2 linked regions of the Macaca mulatta genome follow. The main gene of each other region encodes a partner of the protein of the gene in region 2 in a complex. Links are inferred from orthologs where the notes say so. Each region holds a gene or a part of one and is shown on either strand. Other genes may lie near its edges.

Evidence for each region.
Region 1: NFKBIA (region 2) and CHUK share a complex: the UniProt entries of both Homo sapiens proteins name them as parts of the 70-90 kDa complex. The link is inferred for Macaca mulatta from reciprocal best matches to the Homo sapiens genes NFKBIA and CHUK.

What each region holds. Positions count from the first base shown.
Region 1 is NC_133414.1:112,238,485-112,243,641, reverse strand, and holds part of CHUK (inhibitor of nuclear factor kappa-B kinase subunit alpha), read left to right. Parts: intron 1-343; coding exon 344-440; intron 441-737; coding exon 738-885; exon of another isoform or gene 886-913; intron 914-1,410; exon of another isoform or gene 1,411-1,457; coding exon 1,458-1,591; exon of another isoform or gene 1,592-1,871; intron 1,872-2,176; exon of another isoform or gene 2,177-2,411; intron 2,412-2,727; exon of another isoform or gene 2,728-2,876; intron 2,877-3,208; exon of another isoform or gene 3,209-3,328; intron 3,329-3,907; coding exon 3,908-4,007; intron 4,008-5,157.
Region 2 is NC_133412.1:108,519,861-108,526,175, forward strand, and holds NFKBIA (NF-kappa-B inhibitor alpha), read right to left. Parts: upstream 3,529-6,315; 5' UTR 3,439-3,528; coding exon 3,212-3,438; intron 2,602-3,211; coding exon 2,493-2,601; intron 2,166-2,492; coding exon 1,955-2,165; intron 1,665-1,954; coding exon 1,576-1,664; intron 1,469-1,575; coding exon 1,199-1,468; intron 829-1,198; coding exon 781-828; 3' UTR 301-780; downstream 1-300. UniProt on the Homo sapiens protein: Inhibits the activity of dimeric NF-kappa-B/REL complexes by trapping REL (RELA/p65 and NFKB1/p50) dimers in the cytoplasm by masking their nuclear localization signals.

The sequences.
Region 1 (5,157 bases), on a different chromosome or scaffold from region 2:
CAAGAAAAATTGTTCTCTTGGCCAGAGGCTGCATTTGTGTCTGGGGCTTGGGTTAGTATGGGTTAAAGATAGCCAAGACTATTCTTCTTAAGCACAGGCAACTAAGGCCTCTTACTGATAAATTTATATATACATTATACACATACAAACTTTATTTTTTATATATAACTAGATTTTATTTATAGGTAATCTTTATATCTTTTAACCCAATTTTTAATTTAAATGGAGATATTTATTAATTAAAATTAGTTTCAGAGTTTCAGGGATTTTTGAGGAATTTTTTGTTTGGAGGTTGATATGTTGCAGAAGAAAGATTATACCCACTGACTGATGTCTTTTATAGATCACTCCTACAGTGACAGCACAGAGATGGTGAAAATCATTGTGCACACTGTGCAGAGTCAGGACCGTGTGCTCAAGGAGCTGTTTGGTCATTTGAGGTAGGAAAATTGCTTCATTTCCTACTGAAGAACCAGGATACGTTTATCTTGTTCTTCTCAAAGTACAAATGCCCTCTTTGGTAAAGTATACTTACCCAGGAAGGATTCTGAAAGTACCTTGGGTAGCTTGGCCATAGCTGTCTGCATTTATGTGTCCTTTTGTATGCATTACTTTGGAGATCAGTCATTAAATCTGATGCTGATTGTGGTTCATTTCCTCAGCTGGGTTTTGGGAATATGGTATACATACAGTCTTGGGGAACATGTAAGTGTCTGACACTGATTTAATCTCTCCAGCAAGTTGTTGGGCTGTAAGCAGAAGATTATTGATCTACTCCCTAAGGTGGAAGTGGCCCTCAGTAACATCAAAGAAGCTGATAATACTGTCATGTTCATGCAGGGAAAAAGGCAGAAAGAAATATGGCATCTCCTTAAAATTGCCTGTGTAAGTAATTATTAATGAATTATTTAATGTGACATTGAGTTGCTGTTATTCCCTGCAAAGGGGATTTTTATCAGCATGAGGTGAGCCCTCTTGAACACATTTTGTGCTGGCATGTATATATTTTGCACTGGCATGAAATGACGTCCATGTTCCTTGCTTGGTGTCCAAACTAGCAGTTGAGATGCAGGACTTATTATCATCTCTCCTTTCCAATTTCTCTGTTGTTATACTCCTCTTAGCCCTTGACCACTGTGGTATTCCAACCCAACTTGGGGATAGATGTACCTGACTAGATAATGAAACTGACCATCTATTCAACTGGGTTTTTTTTCTTTCTTCAACTAAAATGGTATAAGATGAATGGATACATTTGGTTTTAGTCAATGAAGAAAGGGGCCAAGGACAGTTTACTAACAGTGTGTAAAGGTGGGAATAGTTTTGCACTGAAATACTCTGGTTGTGCATATAAGTAGTAATGGAAATGTAAGTCTTAGGAATATGGTAAGAAATTGTGTGAATCAACAGAGATGCTTGCCTGTAATCTTTTGATGATTTTTTTTCTTTTCCTTCAGACACAGAGTTCTGCCCGGTCCCTTGTAGGATCCAGTCTAGAAGGTGCAGTAACCCCTCAGACGTCAGTATGGCTGCCCCCGACTTCAGCAGAACATGATCATTCTCTGTCATGTGTGGTAACTCCTCAAGATGGGTGGGTTTACTTTGTAACAATAGATAGCTGTGTTTTCATAGCAGTGGTATAGGAATGAGGCAGTAGTTGTTAAGGTAGTCTTCTGTGCCTTCAGACCAGGGTTGAGTCCTGACTATCCCTTTGTAATAATCTTAGGCAACTTACTTGACTTTTTTGATGTTCATATTTCCTCACCTGTAAAACAGGAATGTCTCATAGAACTGTTGTGGAAATTTGATTAGACAATGTATATAAAGTGCTTGGGAAATAAATGTTCAGCAAATGTTGCTTATTATTAGCTCAGTCCAAGTTCTAAGTCTTTTCTTTTATTGGCTTATTACTTTCTTTTACTCAAACCTTATTCCTTCATTAACAGTTTATAAGAAATTATGCTATCATTTTGCATTTATCATTTTGGGGATCCTTGATTACCCTTCTAATAAATTTTTGAGATCTATTTTATAACTTTGTATTTCTAAGATTAGACTTTTTTCAATGTTTTAAATCAGTTTTGCAAGTAAGAACTCAAATTCCAAGCCCTATATTTTATTAATTCCTACTCTTTTGCTAAAGCTGAATGACTATCCATTTCTGTTATTTTCTCAGCATAAGATGTGCCGTATCCAAAGCCAGTGGCTCTTTGCTAGCTTGTGTATTGTCGCTTTTCTCACAACTCATGGAGACCTCTACAGCACCAGCATTTCCTGGAAACTCTGCCCATAATTAGTTTTGCAGAAGAGCAGCCATGTTACATCACTGCTCAGGAGGTCATGCAGTTGCACATTCTGTACTCTACTTTTATGAGAGAAAAGCACATGGCAGGAAGGCAAGCTGATATCAGGTATTTTATTTTTTTAAAGAAAGGAAGTTCCAGGGTATATATCTTGGGGTCATTATACATGTGGCCCAATGCAGTACACCTACAACTGTAGCACAGGCTATAATTAAATATATGGACTTTACAAAATATTCCAGCAATCAGAGTTGAAGGAAATAAAATTTAATACTTTACTTACTTTTATGCCTTTATTAAAGGCATTTAGGTTTTTTTGGCAGATGCTAATGTTTGCAAATGTCACCGCAATACAGGTGATTTCCAATTTGAGGTGTGGTTGTTTGCAAAAGTATATGTGACATACTTTCAATGTATTTTCTAGAAGGAACACATTATATTTTATTTTGAGACGGAATCTCACTCTGTCGCCTAGGCTGGAGTGCAGTGGCACAGTCTTGGCTCATTGCAACCTCCGCCTCCCAGATTCAAGCAATTCTCCTGCCTCAGCTTCCCAAGTAGCTGGGATTACAGGCGCGTGCCACCATACCTGGCTAATTTTTGTATTTTAGTAAAGACGGGGTTTCACCACGTTGGCCAGGCTCGTCTTGAACTCCTGATCTCAAGTAATCCACCTGCCTTGGCCTCCAAAAGTGCTGGGATTACAGGCATGAGCCACCGTGTCCAGTCAGAATACACTGTATAAGAAAATTGATTTCAATTATTATGTATCTGTGGTACTTAACTACCAAGGATTGGGAACTGTTTGGCCACAATTTTTCCATCTGTTGGATAAGAGCTGAATCAGAATGTCATTCTAAGCTGATAGTGACTATCATCCATGACCTAAAACGGACTCTTGTTAGGGGACTGAAGTTGGCAAAGGGAGAAGAGAGAGGCCATGTAGAAGAGGAAAGCATGAAGGTAGAAACCACAAGCAGGATTGCCTTCAAATATGAACTTCCAGGGATACTTCTTGGTTCTAGGTAGCTCCCCCACCACACTGTTCACTGTTTTCTTTTGCTGTCCTCAGGAATCAGCTTGCTTGTTTTGTTTCATTGCTATCTGTAGTTTCTAATGAGTTTTTCATTTTCTGTGATCTCTACATAACAGATTTTACTTTTTTCTCTTCTCCCCTACATTTGTGTCTGTGAAGTATGCATGCTGGTGTTTTTACTACTTTTAAGGAAAGAGAAGTTTTTAGAAACAAAAAGAGGTATTTCATCTGTCTTTGCCACAAGGATTTTTTCCTCCCTAGTTACATATTCAGGGGAAAAGCAAGTTGTACATAAGTGCCTCTTACGTTTCAGAGGAAAGTCAGATTGGAGTTATAGTGGACTTCTTATCCTTAGAGGTAGGTAGAGGTAGAGGCAGAAGCTTGGTTTAAACAGGACTCTGCCTCTGTAGGGAGGGATGAGGAAACTAAAGACTACAGGAGTCAACTGCACTGGGGTACTGGGTTACAGGAAGGGTAGTGATTGTGCTAACCTAGAAGACTAGAAAGTAGAGGAAATTCATATGCCCTTTTGCTGAATTTGAAAAGGCTTTGTTCTTTCATCTCACAGGGATACTTCAGCACAAATGATAGAAGAAAATTTGAACTGCCTTGGCCATTTAAGCACTATTATTCATGAGGCAAATGAGGAACAGGGCAATAGTATGATGGTAAGTTTTGTGTGGATATGGGTGCCTGCTTTGGCTATGTTGGGTGCAAAAGGTTTAACTTTCCATGCTAGCCTGTCTGGCATTTGGGATGCATATAGGAAACAGAACTCAAGAGGAAAGAGCATTTGGGGAATATCCTCAACCTTAAATCCTTATCTGCTGTTACTCAGGGATATACTAGGATTATGTCATCAATTATCTTCAATAATAGCATTTTTGGTCAAATTAAATGAGTGGTAAGCTTTCTTAACAATGTGACCATTGAAATTGAATGGTTTGTTCTGTACCTTTTTGCTTCAGCAATCCATTTTCTTCATTAAGATGGGACTTGTACTTTAATTCAGATATGGTACCTCCCAAATAGAAAATAAATTATGTTTATATAGCTGTAATAATAAAACTGTGTGCTAAAATTTGGTTACTATAAACTACTGATTTGTTAAAACTTGGGGAAATTACAATAAAATGTTTACTGCATCAACTTTTGCTGCATTTAGTCTTAATGTCAGTTCTGTATATTTCCTCTTTCATTAAGAAAAATAGCAGCGGCCAGGCATGGTGGCTCACGCCTGTAATCCTAGCACTTTGGGAGGCCAAGGCAGATGGATTGCTTGAGCCCAGGAGTTTGAGACCAGCCTGGCCAACATGCGAAACCCTGTCTTTACAAAAAATATAAAAATTGGCTGGGTGTGGTGGCACACACCTGTGGTCCCAGCTACTTGGGAGGCTGAGGCAGGAGGATCGCTTGAGTGCAAGAGTTTCAGGCTGCAGTGAGCCGTAATCCTGCCACTGCACTCCAGCCTGGGTGACAGAGTGAGACCCTGTCTCAAAAAAAGGAAAAAAAAAGAGGATGATAATGGCGGCCAGCCATAGTGACATGTACCTGTAGTCCGAGTTACTAGGGAGGCTGAGGCAGAAGGATTGCATGAGCCCAGGAGTTCAAGGCTGCAGTGCATTATGAAGAGCCACTGCACTCCAGCTTGGCAACATAGCAAGATCCTGCTCTCTTAAAAAAAAAAAAAGAAAAGAAAAAACGAAAAGGAAAGAATAATTGTTTGCTTCAAATATTTATGAAAAAAACTCTGAAATTTTTAAAATCAGGAAATAAGGTAAATGAAATTATTTTTCAACTTTTGATTATAAAATGTCC
Region 2 (6,315 bases):
GTCCAGCAACAGTTGAAATCAAGGGATGACTGAATGACAATGGAGACCTCTCCAACCACAGGCCAAGCAGCACACTTCCACCCCAAGCCTGAAACTGGTATTTCCTATAACCTTGCAACAGCCTCCCTCCCACACACTGAGCCCAGGGTGCCTGCAAAGCTTTGCTGGAGGCTGGGTGTCAGGTGTGAGAAGCTGCTGGGAGTTCCCTGCTCCCCTACAATGCTCCACCTCCACCTCTGCCGGAGGATGGAACTTCAGAACAGGAAGAAAATGATCAGGATAACTTATTTGGAAAAATCTGTTTAATAAATATACATAATAAAAGTACCAAAATAATTACCAACAATACACTATGTACACCATTTACAGAAGGGTAACACAAACCTTGACAGGTATTAACTTTTCACCCCACATCACTGAAAGGTCTAACACTCCTGGCTGTTACATGCCACAGGATACCACGGGGTCAGTCACTCGAAGCACAATAAATATAAAATGTGGTCCTTCCATGAATTTTTGCTAATGTCCAAAACCCCACAGAGGTGAGGTTTAAAAGAAGTTTTCTTGGAATTTCAATGATCTTTCTTGTCCTCTACAAAAAGTTCACAAAAGCAACACAATGAGGGCTGATCCCACTACAATAAAACGTTTTGGGCCAGGCAGTGTGCAGTGTGGCTATAAGTACACCCTTTAAATTTTTTTTCTTTTTTCTTTTTTTAGAAAAATAAAACTTTTTTTTGTACAAATATACAAGTCCATGTTCTTTCAGCCCCTTTGCGCTCATAATGTCAGACGCTGGCCTCCAAACACACAGTCGTCATAGGGCAGCTGAAAACAAGGGGAAAGAAGACACATTAAACTTCCGAAGCTCTGCCAAGCCACTGGGATGGGGAGGCCGCTACTGGAAATAACCCTTGGACTCCATTCTCCATAGCCCAAATACAATGAACTTTACAGGCTGAGGGAGTTTGCCTTTAACTCCCATTTTAAAAATGTTTTAAAAAATGCTTTTCTTTAAAAAAGGGTAAGCTATTTTAAAAAAAAAAAAAGGTACATTATTGGGATACTGGTTATGCACAGAAATTTGAGAGACTCATTATGTAGATACCCCTCTGATAAGGAGCAGTTCTAGGGGCCCGGGAGGGTGAAGGGAATGGTCCCTCATTAGTTAGAGAGCCCAAGGAGTTCACAGACTCACCTCATCCTCCGTGAACTCCGTGAACTCTGACTCTGTGTCATAGCTCTCCTCATCCTCACTCTCCGGCAGCATCTGAAGGTTTTCCAGTGTCAGCTGGCCCAGCTGCTGCTGTATCCGGGTGCTTGGGCGGCCCCAGGTGAGCTGGTAGGGAGAATAGCCCTGGTAGGTAACTCTGTTGACATCAGCCCCACACTTCAACAGGAGCGACACCAGGTCAGGATTCTGCAGGTCCACTGCGAGGTGAAGGGCAGTCCGGCCGTTACAGGGCTCCTGAAACCAAAAGGAATTTGAGATGCTTATGGCTGCGTTTGGAATTTCTGCTCACAACATGAGCACGGGGAACTTGACTCAGTGCATCGGAGGCAGGAAGCACTAACCTGAGCATTGACATCAGCACCCAAGGACACCAAAAGCTCCACAATGCCCAGGTAGCCATGGATAGAGGCTAAGTGCAGACACGTGTGGCCTGGAAGAACAAAACGAAAAAAGTATAACCACCTGTTTCAACCCTCACTCCTTTCACCTATTCTTTTATGGGACAAATAGTCATATCTTCTGAATTTTAAGAACCCACCGTCTGGGTTCTGAAGGAACTTTATAAAGGCATCCAACAGGCACTTTGCACACGTATTTTCTCAACCTTTCAAATGCTGGCAGTTTAAGTTCTTGCCTCGACTCCTTAAGTTGGCCCACCTGCCCCTTCTCCACATCACCTGCCACCTGAGGGGGTGGGGCAGGGCAGGGAGGCAGACATACCATTGTAGTTAGTAGCCTTCAGGATGGAGTGGAGGTGCGGGGTGGTGCAGGACTGAGTCAGGACTCCCACGCTGGCCAAGCAGCCCTGCTCACAGGCAAGGTGTAGGGGGGTATTTCCTCGAAAGTCTCGGAGCTCAGGATCACAGCCAGCTCCCAGAAGTGCCTCAGCAATTTCTGGCTGGTTGGTGATCACAGCCAAGTGGAGTGGAGTCTACGAATGCAGGAGAGACCAGAGAAAGTAAGCCAGGGACCAAACCCACACCCTGAGTTCCCCTGAACCCGTGTCTCCTGGTTGGGTGCTGCTCCTCCTGGACAGGCGGGTGGGGAGGACTGGCAAATAGCAGAGACTCCAGGTGGGTCACAAAGACCTCACCAAATCAGTGGAATTTCCTTCACTCTCTAGGATGTGGGCTGACGTGAAGTAAAAGGTGAGGGTGAATAATGCCCAGTGGCCCTGAATTCAGAAAGGATCTGGGGTGACTTTGCTACATCAGTTCCATCCCAGAGTTAGAGAGCCCGGGCCAGGCAAGCGGCGCACCTGCTGCAGGTTGTTCTGGAAGTTGAGGAAGGCCAGGTCTCCCTTCACCTGGCGGATCACTTCCATGGTCAGTGCCTTTTCTTCATGGATGATGGCCAAGTGCAGAAACCTGTGGGGAAGAGAGGGAAAAACCCCAGGGGTGGTGAGTGCACCGCGTGGGGCCCAGGGAGGCGCGGGCTGCGGGGGATTGCGCAAGGCCGGGGTTTCTGGAGGCCGAGGCCGCGGTGTTTTCCGCGAGGTTATTATGAGCTGAGTGTTCCTGGCAGGCGCCCAGGGACTTTCCGCCCCCCTCCCCCCGCGGCCCCGGCGGGCGCCGGCCAGACCGCCCCGCCCTCCCGCCAGCTCGGAACGCCCTGTACTTCCCCTCCCGGCTGCTCGGCGCCCGCCAGCGGCCAGAAACGCCTTATGCAACCGGGGACTTCGCGTCCCAGCTGCCGCCCCGCCCCCGGCCTAGAGGACAGGCCTGGGGGGAGGGGGCGTGTGGCGACGCTGCCGTCCACCAGGGCCCAGCCGCCGCCCCTCCGAGTCGGGCCGGTGCCCCGCGCGGCCCTGCAGCCCTGCAGCGTTCGGGGCGGTGCAGGAGCCCCGGGGCGCCGCGGCGCCAGCCCGGCTGCATCGCTAGTTCCCCAGGTCGGGCTCCAGGCCCGGCGTCTCCCACTCCCCGGCCGCGCGCATCCGGCCCTCCCGAGGACCCCCGGCTCCGGGTCTGCGCCACTTACGAGTCCCCGTCCTCGGTGAGCTGCTGCTTCCAGGGCTCCGCGCCGCGCGGCACCTCCTGCGGCTCGAGGCGGATCTCCTGCAGCTCCTTGACCATCTGCTCGTACTCCTCATCCTTCATGGAGTCCAGGCCGCTGTCGTGGCGGTCGTCCAGCAGTCGTTCCTTCTTCAGCCCGTCGCGGGGACCCTCCATGGCCCACTCCTGGGGGCGCTCGGCCGCCTGGAACATGGCGCGGGCGAGCTGCGGGCGCTGCTGCGGGTGCGCTGGGCCGCGGGCTGCGCGCTGCTTCCTCGCTAGGGCGCTGGCGGGCGGGACGGCGGCACGGGCTGGTGTGGGCTCTGCAGCGCCGCCGCGGCGCCCTATAAACGCTGGCTGGGGATTTCTCTGGGGCGGGGTCAGGCGCGGGGAATTTCCAAGCCAGTCAGACCAGAAAAGAGAACTGGCTTCGTCCTTTGCTAGGGGGAAAAAGAAGCCTAAACCCTGAGCTGGGGTTCGTCGGAGAAACTCCCTGCGATGAGCCACTGGGGTCACGGACAGGGAACTTTTTGATGAGTGCCAAGTGGCTGGAAAGTCCTTCCGACCAGGCCCCCTTCCCCGCGGTACTTCCCTGCAGCCTGCACCCTGTAATCCTGTCTCTCTGCAAGTGAACCTTCTTTCCCTGGGGTTTCCCACGATCGATTTGAATTGGGGTCGTCGGCTGCTGAGATCCCAAGGACGCCGACATGATGGGCGGTCCCTCTTTGGGGTTTGCCAACCTGCCGGTCCTTTCCGTTTTTTGATCTTTTGAAAACGCAAGAGTGGAAATGATGGCTGGGCGTAGGGATTTTCTTTCCCCAGACTTCTAAGGGGAAGGACGCACTGTGGTTATGGGGCTGCAGGCCGCTCTTGTGTTTCTGCTAATATCAGGCTCATTGCAGAACGGGGACGTTTAGCTTCGCGCCCTTCCTCCCCTACCCCCCACGCACCTCTGCCAGGTAGAACTGTGAAAGCTTTGGAGGAGTGGAAAGCCTAAATCTTTGGAAAACTCTCAAATCACTTCCAATCACTTCCTAGGGATGAACAGCCTTGTTGAGTGGGGGAGGGGCAAACTCTCCCTGTATGGGGAAACTGCTGAATAGGACCATGATTTTTTTTTTTCCCCCCAAGTAAAGCAAGGTGTTAATCTTTGTAGTGGTGGTTGTGGATACCTTGCAATAACAGAGTAGCTATTGTGTTCATAAGTAGCTGTTGCATTCATGCTATCTGACCTACATTGTGCTGCCGCAGAGAATGGATCCTGAGCCTACTTCTGGGCATCTAAACTGAGCAATTCGAGGAGCACTTAGAGAAGGAGGCTGAAGAATGAGTTTAGTTAGTGCCTTAACCGCGATTGGACCTTAAGGACCGCTAAGAAAGTAGTTGCCAGTCATCCTGCAGGAGGCTCAAGGCAGCCCCATCCTCCCATCCTGCCCCCCCCCCGCCTTGCTCCCTCGTCCTGGGGGATAGTAGCAGTTGGACCCATTCATGCCACCCAGGTAGAAAGGGGTTTTGGCTCACTATGCTCTGGTTTCACCTGCAGAAATGTAATTTATGCTCTCCATCCCACCTCCACCTCCAAGCCTGCAAGCCATGGACTGAATTCATCTACTTGGTAGAATTGGTACAGGCAAAATAAAGCACACTTCGGTCAGAGCTCTTCAGAATTAGTCCCAGGAGCCCTCTGTAGTTCTGCAGAGATTTCTGGTGATGATTGCAATCATCTTTACCTTGACTGGCCATGTACTAACCAATCCTTCCCCTCTCTTCAAATCTCCACCCTTCCCCTAATATTAGAATGTAAGAAATCTGACTCAATAGAGAGAGACCAAGTATGAAGTGAAAAAAATTAAAATCAGATAGAACCTCCAGGGTAGTAATGATCATATGTTACAATGAAAACTTCCCAGGGATAGACACCACTGTCTCTGTAGGCTTATGATATGCAATTCTACAATGATTGAGGCAAGGTGAAACAGGGACCACAGGGGGGCATCTCAAGTGCAGTCTTAACTGCACACTAGTTGGAGGGGTCAGTTAACTTTTTTGTGGTATACTTACTTCTATAATAAGATTAGATTGAATGTTACTTAAGGTCTTTTGTAGCTTAAAAGTTATAGTGTCTACAAATGCGTGCCTAATTCTCCTTTGTAAGGGTGACCATGGCTCTTGGAAATGTCAGGGTATAAATTTTTGAAAGAATTCCAGTGCCTTAGGTACCACATTGTTGGTTCTCAGAACGAATCTTGTAAGACAGATATTGTTCCTACTTCCCTAAAAAGAAACTGAAATGCATAGAAATTTACCCAGGAACCCCTTGGCAGTATATGAATCATTTGGCCAAAGCAGTCTTAGTATTAACACGTTTGAAAACACACTGCGAAAATCAGACTGACTACGCTATAATTTGGAATATACTCAAAACTATTTTCTACTCCAACTGTTAGGGAAAATAAAGGGTGGGTGTCCACCCACCCCCATCTGGGGAAATTCACTTCTTTTAAACATGTACAGAAACATCAAACTCTAAATGTCCCAATTATAGAGGATACATCAGAAGAAGATATTTGGCTTCCGGTATAAAAATGGTTATGAAAAATAAAAATATCTGAGGAATAAGGTTTCGCACCACCTTCTGTGGTTTTATATTTCTGGTAGCCTTCAGGACCTGGTGGTCTTTATTCCTGATTGTTTCGTGTGACACCTAGTGGTAAGAGTAAGGCACAGGCGTTCCTTGATTTGTCATAGTGCCTTTTGAAAAAATTGGGAGGTGCTGAGCCTTGATGACTTGTCCCTACAGTGGAGATTCCCAAGGAGGTACCTTTTGTTTTCCTGCAGCTCTGGGAAACAGTTTTGAATAATGTGATCCAACAGGTTTTTTTCCCCATCATCTATATGGTTTAAGTCAACAAACATTACAACGTGGGTGAAAAAGAATATACACTTGGAAATTAAAACCATGAGCAGACTGGGCAGAAGACAACAAAAGGGTCTGGTTTTGATTTAGAAAGACCTTTATGGGCCGGGAGTTGTGGCTCACTCCTGTAATTTTAGCACTTTGGGTTGCCGAGGCGGGAGGATTGCTTGCCA